Drosophila melanogaster: one gene and its partners. The protein of the gene in region 1 interacts with the protein of each later gene in a pairwise test. Each region holds a gene or a part of one and is shown on either strand. Other genes may lie near its edges.

What was found.
Region 2: the proteins of CG14410 (region 1) and CG5532 interact in a two-hybrid assay, tested with the Drosophila melanogaster proteins (one large-scale study listed by BioGRID).
Region 3: the proteins of CG14410 (region 1) and CG15209 interact in a two-hybrid assay, tested with the Drosophila melanogaster proteins (one large-scale study listed by BioGRID).
Region 4: the proteins of CG14410 (region 1) and CG13066 interact in a two-hybrid assay, tested with the Drosophila melanogaster proteins (one large-scale study listed by BioGRID).

What each region holds. Positions count from the first base shown.
Region 1 is NC_004354.4:14,834,671-14,837,850, forward strand, and holds CG14410 (uncharacterized protein), read left to right. Parts: upstream 1-2,054; coding exon 2,055-2,660; downstream 2,661-3,180. Other genes in the region: CG14411 (uncharacterized protein), read left to right, coding at 1-1,115; Grx5 (glutaredoxin 5), read right to left, coding at 2,893-3,083, 3,144-3,180.
Region 2 is NT_033778.4:23,751,143-23,754,016, reverse strand, and holds CG5532 (uncharacterized protein), read right to left. Parts: upstream 1,264-2,874; 5' UTR 1,188-1,263; coding exon 1,112-1,187; intron 1,053-1,111; coding exon 790-1,052; 3' UTR 502-789; downstream 1-501. Other genes in the region: CG11300 (uncharacterized protein), read right to left, coding at 1,595-2,068; CG12491 (uncharacterized protein), read right to left, coding at 2,859-2,874.
Region 3 is NC_004354.4:10,840,389-10,843,533, reverse strand, and holds CG15209 (uncharacterized protein), read right to left. Parts: upstream 1,330-3,145; 5' UTR 1,289-1,329; coding exon 845-1,288; 3' UTR 539-844; downstream 1-538. Other genes in the region: CG32669 (uncharacterized protein), read left to right, coding at 1-429.
Region 4 is NT_037436.4:16,270,966-16,274,182, reverse strand, and holds CG13066 (uncharacterized protein), read right to left. Parts: upstream 1,275-3,217; 5' UTR 1,217-1,274; coding exon 1,205-1,216; intron 1,006-1,204; coding exon 736-1,005; 3' UTR 575-735; downstream 1-574. Other genes in the region: CG13067 (uncharacterized protein), read right to left, coding at 2,531-2,758, 2,832-2,843.

The DNA of each region.
Region 1 (3,180 bases):
GTGATCTCTGCTGTGTGATTAGCAGTCTGGCGCAGCTATTGCTCGATCCGCATTTCCGTACTATCGATGGCTTCCAATCGCTGGTGCAGAAGGAGTGGGTGGCCCTGGAGCATCCGTTTCAGCGACGCCTGGGTCATGTCTATCCTGCCCAGCCGGCCGGCGGTAATGCCGAACTATTCGACAGCGAACAGAGTCCAGTGTTTCTGCTCTTCCTCGATTGCGTGTGGCAGCTGTTGCAGCAGTTCCCCGACGAGTTCGAGTTCACGCAGACATACCTGACCACGCTGTGGGACTCGTGCTTCATGCCCATCTTCGATACCTTCCAGTTCGATACGCAGGCCCAGCGACTGAAGGCGGTGACCGACTCGCAGCTCGTCCTGCGTCCCGTTTGGGATTGGGGCGAGCAGTTCTCGGACAAGGACAAAATGTTCTTTAGCAATCCGCTGTACCAGCGCCAAAGGGGCGATCTTGGCGCCCAGGCGGCTGCCGTGGCGCATCGCAGATCCCTGGCGGTGGGTAGTAAGGGAGCGCATGGCGCCGCTAGTGGTGTCACACCCTCGCGCAACACCATCAATCCGCAGCTCTTTGCGACCGCTTCGTCAGTGCCGCAGGATCGTTACCTGCAGCCGGCACATCGCATCTTCGATCTGCAGGTGTGGGATCAGTGCTACTACCGCTGGCTGCCCATTTTGGATATACGCGGCGGCGGCCAGCCGCAGGTGGATCTCTATCATCGCCTGCTGCTGAGCAACATAGCAAAGGTACAGCGCTGCCTGGATTATCAAAACTTTGACGATCTACCCGATGCGTATTACGAGTTCGCCGGCGAATCGCGTCCCAATCAGCACAAGGACGAGAAGCCCGACAAGGAGGACGAGGCCGAGTTCGTCGACGGTGTGGAGCGGCGCAGGAAGCCGACGGCGAAGGCCGCCACACCCACTAGCGGACTCACATCGGTTACCGGCAATCTGCAGCTATCGACCCTGTCGTCGTTCTTTCCCTTCGGGAATCCCATCGCCGGAGATGCACCGCTCCAGCTGTACGACATTCTGAGCAGCAGCAGCGAGCTGCTGATGGAGACCTCATCCTTTCTGGACAAGTCGTCCATTGTCTGATCCGCACACAAATCGGAGACACCACCACACACACACTCGTTCCACTTGTTTATTCAAAACGCTGAACTTTCGAAGTATTACACAAAAAACAGAATATAATTTGAGAAGAAGAAGAAAAAACACACACACACACACACACACAGAGGTGCAATTTCCTCACATATACATGGCATATCGCTTTTAACACTTTTGATTATTGTTAACTAATAAGCAAGTTATGGTATAAGTTTTTTTTTATTTCGTTTTACTACCACCAAACTGCATTGCATCGCTGCATTATAAAATTAAACGTAAATAATACGATTAACAAACGTAACGACAAGCAATTGATGTAAAACGAATTCAAAACACAAATCCGCAAAAACGAAAACGTACGAAAACACCAATTAAATCAATATGTATTATATTGTATGTAACTAAATATATGAAAGACTATTGATCGATATGTATATTTAAATAAATCAAATGTGTAAAATCAACAAAATGTGTTCTGATTGCGGCAACTTTTGAGAATTAAACGAATTAGGAACTATGAATATATATGGGTGAGTCAGCAAAAAAAATCGCATTAATATGTAAGCTTATGATTTTAAATTGAAGTGGATAGTTGGATAATTGAAAAGATAAAATAATTGACTAACAGTTTGGCTTTCGAAACGATTTGTGTTTGCTATTCTGAATAATTTTGGGTTCTTAATGTAACTCAATAAAAAGTTTAAGATTTTATAATTTAAAAAAAAGGAGCCATATAAGGGTTAACATAATTACAAGCTTCGATAAATAACTGTTTAATTCCCGATTTTTATTTATGATTTCATTTTATAGTTCGCTTGGACTTTCAGTTATAATCATAGCACATAGAAGTTATAATGAATTTATAAATATGCTATTATTATAATTTATTATTGGCACGAGAAACTAGATTAAACACTCAGCGAAATGGGTAATACAAATACGTTCAAGGACATAAAGGATTACACAATGAAAATCATTATAATTACAGAACGGAATCATGAATCTCAAAATAAGAAGCTATCAACAAGAAATGATAAATATTTGGACTTAAAGCATGAAATAATGGAAGTTAAAGTTGAGAATCTGGCAAACAACCGCATTTTAAAAGCAGAAAAGGATGCAAAGACTGCAGATAAACTCGACAATTCAGAATATTTAAAGATTAATCAGAAAATGCTTCTAAATGAGAACCAAGATATTGAGATGGAAAATCAGGTACCAAAGGATCTGGAAAAGCAAACTGATGAGTATCCCAATGAAGAGCAGTACGTCGGGAATCAGTTGCCACTTAGAAATCCCGCTCAATCGACTCCAACTCGTCCAAGTCGCGTGATTCCACCAATGCCATCGGAGGAAACGATGCGCCACTCCATAGCCGACAACCTGATGGAGATCCTGGTGAATATGACTAATCCGCAGCATCGACAACAGTGCTTTTCCCTCTTGCAGGTGGACGATGCTCTGCAGGCACGCAGTCGAATCCTATGCCTCCTGCAGCAAATCGACGAGAGGCGCAGGACGCGCAACTGAATTCATCCTATAGAATGCTTGCTTACATTATAATGGTACTTTTACAAAGCCTGCTATATCTTAATCACAATCATAAATGAGCGCCTGCGATTATATGCCATTGGCTGCCATTTAAATCACACGGAACAACGCACACCATTGTCGTTATGAGTTAAACATTTAATAATAAAAACGTTGCGTGACTAACAGATTTAGGAAGGGAATTTGATCTTTGGGCGCTCTTTTTGAATCATCACTTAGCCTTGTCGTCCTGCTGCTTAGCCTCCTCCGCTTTCAGCAGCTCCGAAATGATGCCCGCCTTCTTGAGCTCCTCGATGAGATCGCCGCTCTGGTGCATCTGCAGCAGGATGTCGCAACCGCCGACAAATTCGCCATTGATGAACACCTGCGGAATGGTCGGCCAGTCGGTGTAGTCCTTGACACCTGCACGCAAGCAATAAGGTTTAACGCTGGCACGCTAATGCATATGTGGAGCGTACTCACCCTGTCGCAGGGACTCGTTTTGCAGCACATCGTGGGC
Region 2 (2,874 bases), on another chromosome or scaffold:
TAAAATAGTACATATAATTCTGTAAAAACTTCATCTACACATGCACGCACTTTCGGCAGACAACCTAAATTATTTCTTGAGCCACAAATCAATCGAAAGGAAATTTAATAATAATCCCACTTTCCAATGTGATAAACATATATAATTTGTACACTCTACTTAACAAATATTTATCGTTTCCTGTTGGGAAAATGCTAGAAAGGTGGAGAATCGATAATATACTTACCTTGCCGCACTTTGCCTGCAGAAAACTCAAATTATTCACTTCATTATTGTAATAAACTTGTTAGAAGCCTAAATTCTAAAAAAAAAAAAAAATCCATCACTCTACGTTTACCTAGCCTAATGCTCTTTTCATGCAGCAACAAAATGTAATAGCTAAGTTTTAGTTGTAGTTAACTGAACATCGTATAATAGATGAAACTGTAAATTTATCACACACACAAAAGAAACAAAAGCTAAGTTAAACAATAAATATACAAAAAAAGATTTGAATGTACGAAATGGTGTATTTCTGTGCTTCTATGCGAACTGTCATACCAAAGTGCCTGAAAGTATGCTATTAAATGTGACCAAGTATTACAATTGAGTACAAAGAAGTCCACAAGTTAAAAGCATAGGTGATAAAATATATTTGCAGCAAGTACAGTTCCTAATCACTATCTTAGAAAGTGACACAGCGCATTACCAAAGTTCCAATCACCGAAAAGTAGAAAACCTATTCAATACGAATGAAGAATGAAGGTAGGGCAATCTCCTGGCAAGTCCAGCATGTGGCCGGAAATTAGCCTAAGGGGCCTTTGTGCCGGCGGGCATTAGGTAGCGATTATAGGTGGCCAGGTTCTTGACCAAGGCGGCCACGGATAGCATGCACACCATTCCGGCGGGCATCAGTTTTCCGGATCGGTTCCAGCGGGCGCCCATCAGCCCGGCCAGGAACAGGGAGGTGCCCAACTGGAGCAGGGGACGAGGCGTGTCCTGGGAGTTGAGGTGGGCGCCATAGCCGAGCAGGGCTCCGAAGGCCAGACCAGCACCCAGCGAGGGAATGGAACCTGGAATGCAGGGCGTTGCACAATCGGACATGACCACGGTCAGGGGGCTGGTCACTTACCCGCCTTGGCGTATCCCATGATTCCTCCGGCGGCGACCGTGGCTGCGTACACATATCCGAACCAATCCACCGGCATTTCGATTTATTTTGATTAAATTTCGGGGTAACCTTTGTTTTGGTGAGAAGTGGAGGTGTTAGTATGACCCTTCCTGCCTTAGTAGAAAGAAGATCCGCTCCGCAGTGCACGAAATTCAGACATCTGGCAGCACCGTTTCGCGGTCATTTTGAATTAAATATGTGCAACGAACTTCCTAATCAGAATATTTATTTCAATGTTTAGAACGCTTCTATTCGAAATATTCATTGCAATGTTTAGAAAGTTTGTTGGGCAAATATAAGTTAGTTTACTAATGTATGCATTACAAAAAGAGCGATGGTTCCTCTAATTTAAAAAGCCATTCAATACATTTATGTTTTTTTTAGATTTATTGCATTTCTGTCTGGAATTTTATTTCAAATTCGTAGCCAACATGTTCGTGAATTTTACAATAGACGACGGTGACGGTGTACACGGCGAACCACTCGCCCCTGACCACCACCTCCATTCTGATTACTCTGGTTGGCCTGACGCCTCTCGCGGCGGAGCTGACGCCTCAGCCGGCGCAGCCGACGCCTGAGCCTAATCACTTCCTGGCTGCTGCTGGATCCACTGTCACTGGGCGATGTGGGCGTAGCTGGTGATGTCGAGGAAGCGGGCGCATCAGGAGTAGCTGGCGAGGACGGTGTTCCAGTCGCTGGAGTTGGCGAGGTCGGTGTACCAGCAGCTGGGGATGCTGAAGGTGGTGTTCCAGTCGCTGGGGATGGTGAGGGCGGTGTTCCAGTCGCTGGAGGTGGCGAGGTTGGGGTTCCAGCCGGTGGAGATGACGCGGGTGGGGATCCTGCCGCAGGTGGAGAATCGGCGTAGGCAGTTGCTATTAGGGCCAAAAGCCCAAAGGCGATAACGAATTGGCAACGCATCTTCAGCTCAGTTTGTCACTAAATGGAGTACTGTGTGGATAGTGGTTTAAATCCGAGTATTTATAGGGATGATCCACTTGATTCGCTTTAATTGTCGAATCTGTGTTTGCTTTGAATGTTTTAGAGTACATTTTACGTTCTCGTCAAGACAAATAGATTAAACTCAATAAAAAGACGAGACTATCTTCTCTGTAAGCGCGAAAGCTGTTGATGGCTGTGGAAAGTTCTAATTCGTTAGTAATTAAACAAAACGGTTTTTTTTTGGATTGGCTGGCTGAACGTATTGTTAGCATGTGTGCAAACACGGTACATTGTTTATTAAATAGATGAATATGTATTGTTAAGCCTTTTGAACAGAAAGCCATATTTAAATAACCTCTAAGCTTAAATAAAGATTAAGATGGCATATTGTACATAAAGAATGAATTCTCACTAAAAGAAAACTTAGAACAAACTCCTATTTTTCACTTTCATTTGCAAGTTCCTAATCGATTAAGTTATCATCTGGAATTATGTCTGCACTTAGACCAGTTCCACTTGATCAACTAACTAGATCGGAAAATGATTTACTTAGGATTCTTCATTAGAGTATATAGTGTAGCCTTCTTCTTCTTTTCCAAGATGAAACCGAATATTGAATTTCTTTGTTTGACTAACAATTCGATCCAAATGATTTCACTTGTTTTTAAGGTGCCAAGTTACCAAGTCATAACTACGATTGTTGCTTTTGTGTATGCATTTATTTTTCAATTTGGACCATTTCATTGTTCGATCGGGTTAAGCCGATGGTTTATCCCCTACGTTGG
Region 3 (3,145 bases), 4.0 Mb from region 1:
CCGCTGGTCAGCTTGGATATGTCCACGGCTGGATGTCCGGTGGACAGGAGCTTTGCCCGCGACATTTTCCTCAAGACTGTGATAGCGGTGGCCGAGGAAGAGCATTACTTTTACCTGTACAGGATTAGCTACATGTGGTACGCTGCTTTGGGCTTCCTGATAACCTTCTTTGGCGGATGGCTGTTGTCCTGGCTGTTTGCCCTGCTGAAATGGGACAACAATCGACGCATCTACCAGGATGCGGACTGCACGCTAATCAAGCACGATCTCTTCGTGCCGCCGATAGCCAAACGTTTGCAACGGCGACAAATGCCGCTCCTGGTGGTCACCGGCACCAGTTCGGAGATTGGCGGCATCACGACAGAGAGCGCTACGGCGCCGCCGCGGCTGGACGAGATCGAGTGGGAGAAACACAAGGCAGTGGCGTAACTGAACACATCACCTTAGTAGTTTTTTCTTTTGTTTTTTTTTTGTAGCGCCGTTTTGACCTTAGTTACTCTCCATTAGCTATCACTGCAAGAAATAATAACTTTGCTGTACAATAATACGGTTTAGTTTATTTGCATTTCTATACGAGTCTAAAAATGAGGCAAACTATTATTTGAAAGAATTGCTGCTGGAATTACAATGCTCCTTATAATGTTCTAAAGAAAGTCAGGTCGGAGAATATCATATAGTTGCCATAGTATGTATATCTGCATGGGTCATCCCACTTCGTTCTCCGTGGAGCGTACTACTAGCCTTTTTCTCTTGTCACACAAAATATATATATATATATATATGTATATATATATTAAGTGAACTTTGGCTTTAAATAAACGAGCTTACTCATTAAGCAACTAAATTAACGCTCATCGATGGCCTGATTGGGCTGCTCCTCCGGTCCTTTGGCATTGTAAACATTGCGATTCTGGGACAGATGCCATAGGGCTAGCAGGCGGGCCAGCTCCGTGTAGGTTAGCTTGCGCAGATCACGTCGATCGGCCAGCTTAACTCCGGCGGCCTCTAGCTCCTCCACCAATGTGACGGCATCGTATTCATCCTCCGGATTCTGCTCATTGCGTGGCGCAATTTTTCCGACGAACTCCGACTCTGGCACCGCTTCGCTCTTCACCATGCGCTGCATCTGCTGCACATGCTGCTGTTTATGCTGACGTTGCTGACCCAATGGCTCGTCGACATCTTTTAGCTCCTGTTCGGGATTCATGGGCAGCGAATTGGCCAGGCTGACCATGCCGAGGATCACCAGGAAGATGACCGGAATATTGTTGCACCCAATGGGTTTCATGTTTACGTCCGACTGCTAGTAGCTTTGCTGTGGCACTGCTGCCCGCCTGTCGCATGTCGATCGATCGTGGCCTGGACTCGACTCTCGGGGTGCGCTCCAATTTCTATCTGCCTTCCAACCCGCTCGTACGCTCGCTCGGCTCCCTATCGCTCACTCGAACGCCCCGTGTGGCAGTGCTGGCTGGCGAAGACATTCGCTTTCTTCTTCCAGCATTTGGCTATTATTTTTTTTGGTTACTTTCGAATGCCATGGATTTTGGCAAACAATGGTGCCATTAAACTGCAAGTAAGGCGGGGATATAGATTCTTTTACTTCTAAAACTATATAAATTTGTAATAGATGAGCAGTGAGTGTTTTTAAAATGTATATTTTATTGTATGTTATGCAAAAAATGTTCCATTTAATTCAATACGCTGGAAACGAAGCGCAGCACTGTCGTTTGGGGGGCTGCTTTTGATTGAAAAGTCAGTGTGTAGGGTCGGTTAAATTATTTTATCTGCATATGCAGCACATACACTATACTATACACTATACAACATCGACCCCTGGTACATATGTTATTTAATTGTCTGGCTGGTGCCTTTTGTATTTTGTATTTTGTATGTAGTAGATCCCGCATTTCGTCGTTTTTTATTGTGTATTTTTGTTGGCTACGTTTTTTTTTTATTTTTTCTGTCCGCCTCCAATTCAATTTATCTGCGCAGTTTGTGCTCACTCGGTTCGCCGTCTTCTATTTTCTGCATGTTGGTTTGGCCTAATCTTATCAGCTCTTATTCATAGCCAATTGAACGAGTTGTAATGGTCGAGAGTTTTTAATAATTTCTAGTAGATATGGGTTAATGGACGACGCGCCCCGCGTTAATCAGTCGCAATGTTTCCTTGTGTACCGAACCAATCGGTCAGGCAATCTTAGGTCTAAGAACTTTGTTTGATTGGTCAAAATGTGAATGATATTATTCTACATTTACATGTTCATATTTCACACAAACAATTATTGCTCTATTTGCAACAATTCTAATGGAATACAGTTGAAAAGCAACTAGAGATACCTCGTCTAGAGTTTTAAATTCTTATCGGTAATTGGGCTTATTTAATTACTCACTGCTACAATTACTTTGCCTGCCTTCAGGCGTTGCTAAAAGCTTTTTTTTATAAACAAATTGCAATAGCATAGTCTAACTTGTAGTGCATGCCGAATTAGTGTCAACAAAGAAATTATTGTTAAATATATTGCGCTATTATGTGTTGAATTATAACGATTTGACAAATACACGTAACGACGTTCTTGAGTGACAATGGAAATTGAAAAAAAGTCGAGATTGTCAAGTTGCATGTAACGTGCGACGAAGTAAGTATTGATAAATGTAAATTCTAAATGGAAAATCGCAATTGTCAGTCTTATTTGCATTTTCCTAATGGTTTCACATCTGGCATGCGAGCAACCTACATACATATGTATGTGCTATGCTATATATACATACATATGTATATAAAGTGTTTATAAAATAAATGTACGTGCGAATGGAATGGCCAAAACATTCCACTGACTGATCGTTGTTAGCTTTTATTAGACTGCAAACACGTGCGCCAGCCCGCTTTGGTTAGTTAGTCATTTTTGGTTGAGAATGAAAAGAAGAAAAAAAAAAAACCCAGAACTGTCAGCAGCGTTGATAACCGTGTTGTGGGCCAAACACAACTGACTGACTCACTGTATAGGATAGCTCCATAGCCAGCTATGGGAGGTACCCTATCAAGGGCACCCAATAGCAGCAACCAATCCACTTGACTCTCTTTTGTGTGCATCTCCTGATGTCATCGACCAATAATGCGTTGGATCGTTTCCCTTCTTATCGCTAG
Region 4 (3,217 bases), on another chromosome or scaffold:
ACCTCTAAGCCAACACACACGCAACTTGCAATCAAAGTGATAAACAATGTGCCGCGAGCTGGCCACATAGACCTCGAAGGGTCAGGGGGGTATCAGGGCTAAGGGGGTGCGAACTGCGTAAACAAAGCTCAAGGATTGCGTCCTGGAACGTGGCGAAGTGTCGATGAACCAAAGTGGGCGCACAAACAGGCCAGAGTTGGGCACACCCTTGGAGGGCACTCTGTCATATGGGAGCTGTCTAATGAAAATGGTGGCCTGATTTAACCTTAAACGAATTCATTCTTCTCATCATATAATAGTTTAAAGTGCTCTGGTGACCATTGCAAATGTTAAAAATTAAAGCTTGCAGCACTCGTTAATAATTCAAATGAAATCCCTTATCTTGAACTTATAATTCTATGTAATACCACAAACTAAAGCTATATATATATACTTCCCATCCAGGTATCTATTGCAATAAGACGGCGCTTCCCAAGAGCAACCTGCACTATCTGTTTCCTTTGAAGAAAAGTCCCGATGCCCACGGCAAGATTAAAATTAAACGGAAGGAATAAAACTCGATTCACTTCTCAGTCGGTCAGTGCGTGGGCCTGATGCATTGCGTTTTAATTTCTGTTTGCCTGCGAGCATGTATCTCCATCTCTGTTTGTATCTGTATCTTTCGCCGTGGCAGTGACGACGTCCGGTGGACACGTGCGGCAGCCTTGCGGAATCCCTTTGCCATCCTGGGACATCTTACTTCTTGAGGATGGTGGCCACAGGGGCGGCGGCATAAACGGCTGGCAGGGCGGCGCTGTGGGCCACACTGTGGGCACTGTAGCTACTGGCATAGGGGGCCACGTAGGGGGCGTAGGCAGGGGTGTAGGCGGCGGTGTAGGCGAGGGGTGCGGCAGCGGGCAGGGAGCTGTACGCCAGTGGAGTGGAGTAGGCCAGAGGGGCATTGTAGGCCAGCAGACCAGGATTGGCAGCAGCGGCGGCGAACAGGGCGCACAGGACAACGGCAAACTGCAGGATAAAATGCATACAAAAAGTACATTAAAATACACATTTACAAGAAGTTTTATAAATATAAAAAATTGTTTGAAAAATCTACACTGTTTGATAATAGTTTTATTTCGAACACACGCGTTTTTGTTTGTATTTAGGATTGTGAATTGTTGCATTTTTGAAACATTGTATCCTTAAAAAAATGTTGGAAACTTACGAATTTCATCATTTTAATTGATTTGGTTGTGTTAGCGTCGAAGTTAGACTTCTGATTGATGTCTTGTGCTGAGTTCGAAGTGGTTTATATAGGTAAATATACATAGCATCCTTGACAAAGCCCATTGAAAAAGCAAAAACCCAGCAAGTTTAAAGCATTTCCATCACGTACCAGGGCTAAAACAGGGCCAAACATTTGGTCTCTTTTTACTGGCACAATTATAATGTTGCAGATTTGTGTTTGTCGATATGCCTGCGAATAGTACGCATTCCTTGTGAATTTATTATTGAAAATGAATGTTTTTTCCCGCTCATCTTGAGCATTTCCGCAACTGGCGTCAGCAGCTGTCGTTTGCCGATTGAATTATCATAATTTAGCACTCAGTGCGTTTTGTGGGCTGTGAACGTGCGTGTCATTCCAACCGTCTTGGCCATCTCCGGAGTTCGGCTCACTCTGTACGTTTCAATTGTCAGCCACTCGAACACGCCACTTTGCATTCTAATCAGAGATGCAAGTAAAAATAGAAGCGGTTTATCCAGTTTCGAAGGACGTCATCGAGTTGAGCCCTTGGCTTAAGGTTGAGGACACCAGAAACAGGGAATCGAAAGCTTTGCATAAATGGAATCGCGAGTTCAATAAACCGGAGGTCTCGTTGACCCTATTAATCCAATGCAAACATGGACATTCCACCACGAAGAACACAACCTCCTTTACACTTCCTTTTTTTTTAACAAATAATAGGTTTTAAGTCCAAAAAATAATTTCCAATGTATCAAAGCAATTTATTGATACAAAGCTTAAAAAAGTCATTGATTCCTTCCAGCCCACCAAAATTAAAAAATGTAGGGGCTAGCAATTTATGAAACTAGTGTGAGAAATATTTACTGAAAATATGATATCACCTACTTTATAAATAATATTTCCATTGGATTTTAATGTATACCAAATTTAGTACTTAGTACCCATTGCAAAAGAGTACTGCCTAAAAGTATGTGATTATACATACTCCCTTCACATTAGAGATGAATAAGTGATGCAATAAATTATGAACAAGTGGTATACGTTTTACGCAAAATGCAGTATTTATTTCAACAAAAATATTCCCTTTCTTGAAGTGGTATGTCCTGTTCCCATGACTTAACTTTCAGCAGTCGGCAGAGGTGGGGAAATGTAGAGTCTGTCGAACTAACACCAGGGATGTAAGAAGATTGGATGTTGCAGGTGGTTAGCAGGAAGGTGTGTATCCTTGTTGCAATAGATGTGTATATGTTTATATTCAGGTCCAGTTCAGCAGTCAGGTTAAGATCACGATCCATTCATCCAGTCTTAACGGTAGTAGGCGGCATAGGGGTAGGCGGAGTAGGCGGACGCATAGGGGTACGTGTAGGCGGAGTAGGCGGCGGCCACTGGAGCGGTGTATGCCGCGGTGTAGGCAGCCGAGTAAGGAGCAGCTGCCACATAGGGAGCGGAGTAGGCGCTGTAGGCCAGAGGAGAAGCGAGCACCGCCGGCTTGGCAGAGACGCAGGCCACGATGGCGAACAGGCACAGAGCGAACTGAAAGGATAGGAAAAGTGCTTATGAGTAATCCGTTGTTTGGTGGCAAGTCCAGCTATCCTGCGATCCTTACGTATTTGAACATGTTGGCTGTTTGGGTTGGTTGTGAACTGTTGGTTCTCAAGTACTAGACTGATATCTCCTAGTGCCCGAGTACTCGGGTATATATAGCAGAATCGGTCGAGAAAATTCCATTCCAATTCCCCACATTGAAGCGAAGGTGATGCGTGGCCATTGGTATGCACATCCATTCCCAGATCGGTTCCAAGTCCATTTTGAAGCCAGCCAAGGAGAATCTTGAGCATTATGGCTTTGCACTTTTGGTTTCGTTTGGTATTTTTAAAAGCGTGACGAAAAGCGAAAAACAAATCGAATGTGAGTCCGTGTTTTGCATACTAAAACGTAGCTGGATATTGATCCATCCATCGGCAAGTCTGGAAATGACCCACAAAAACTGCC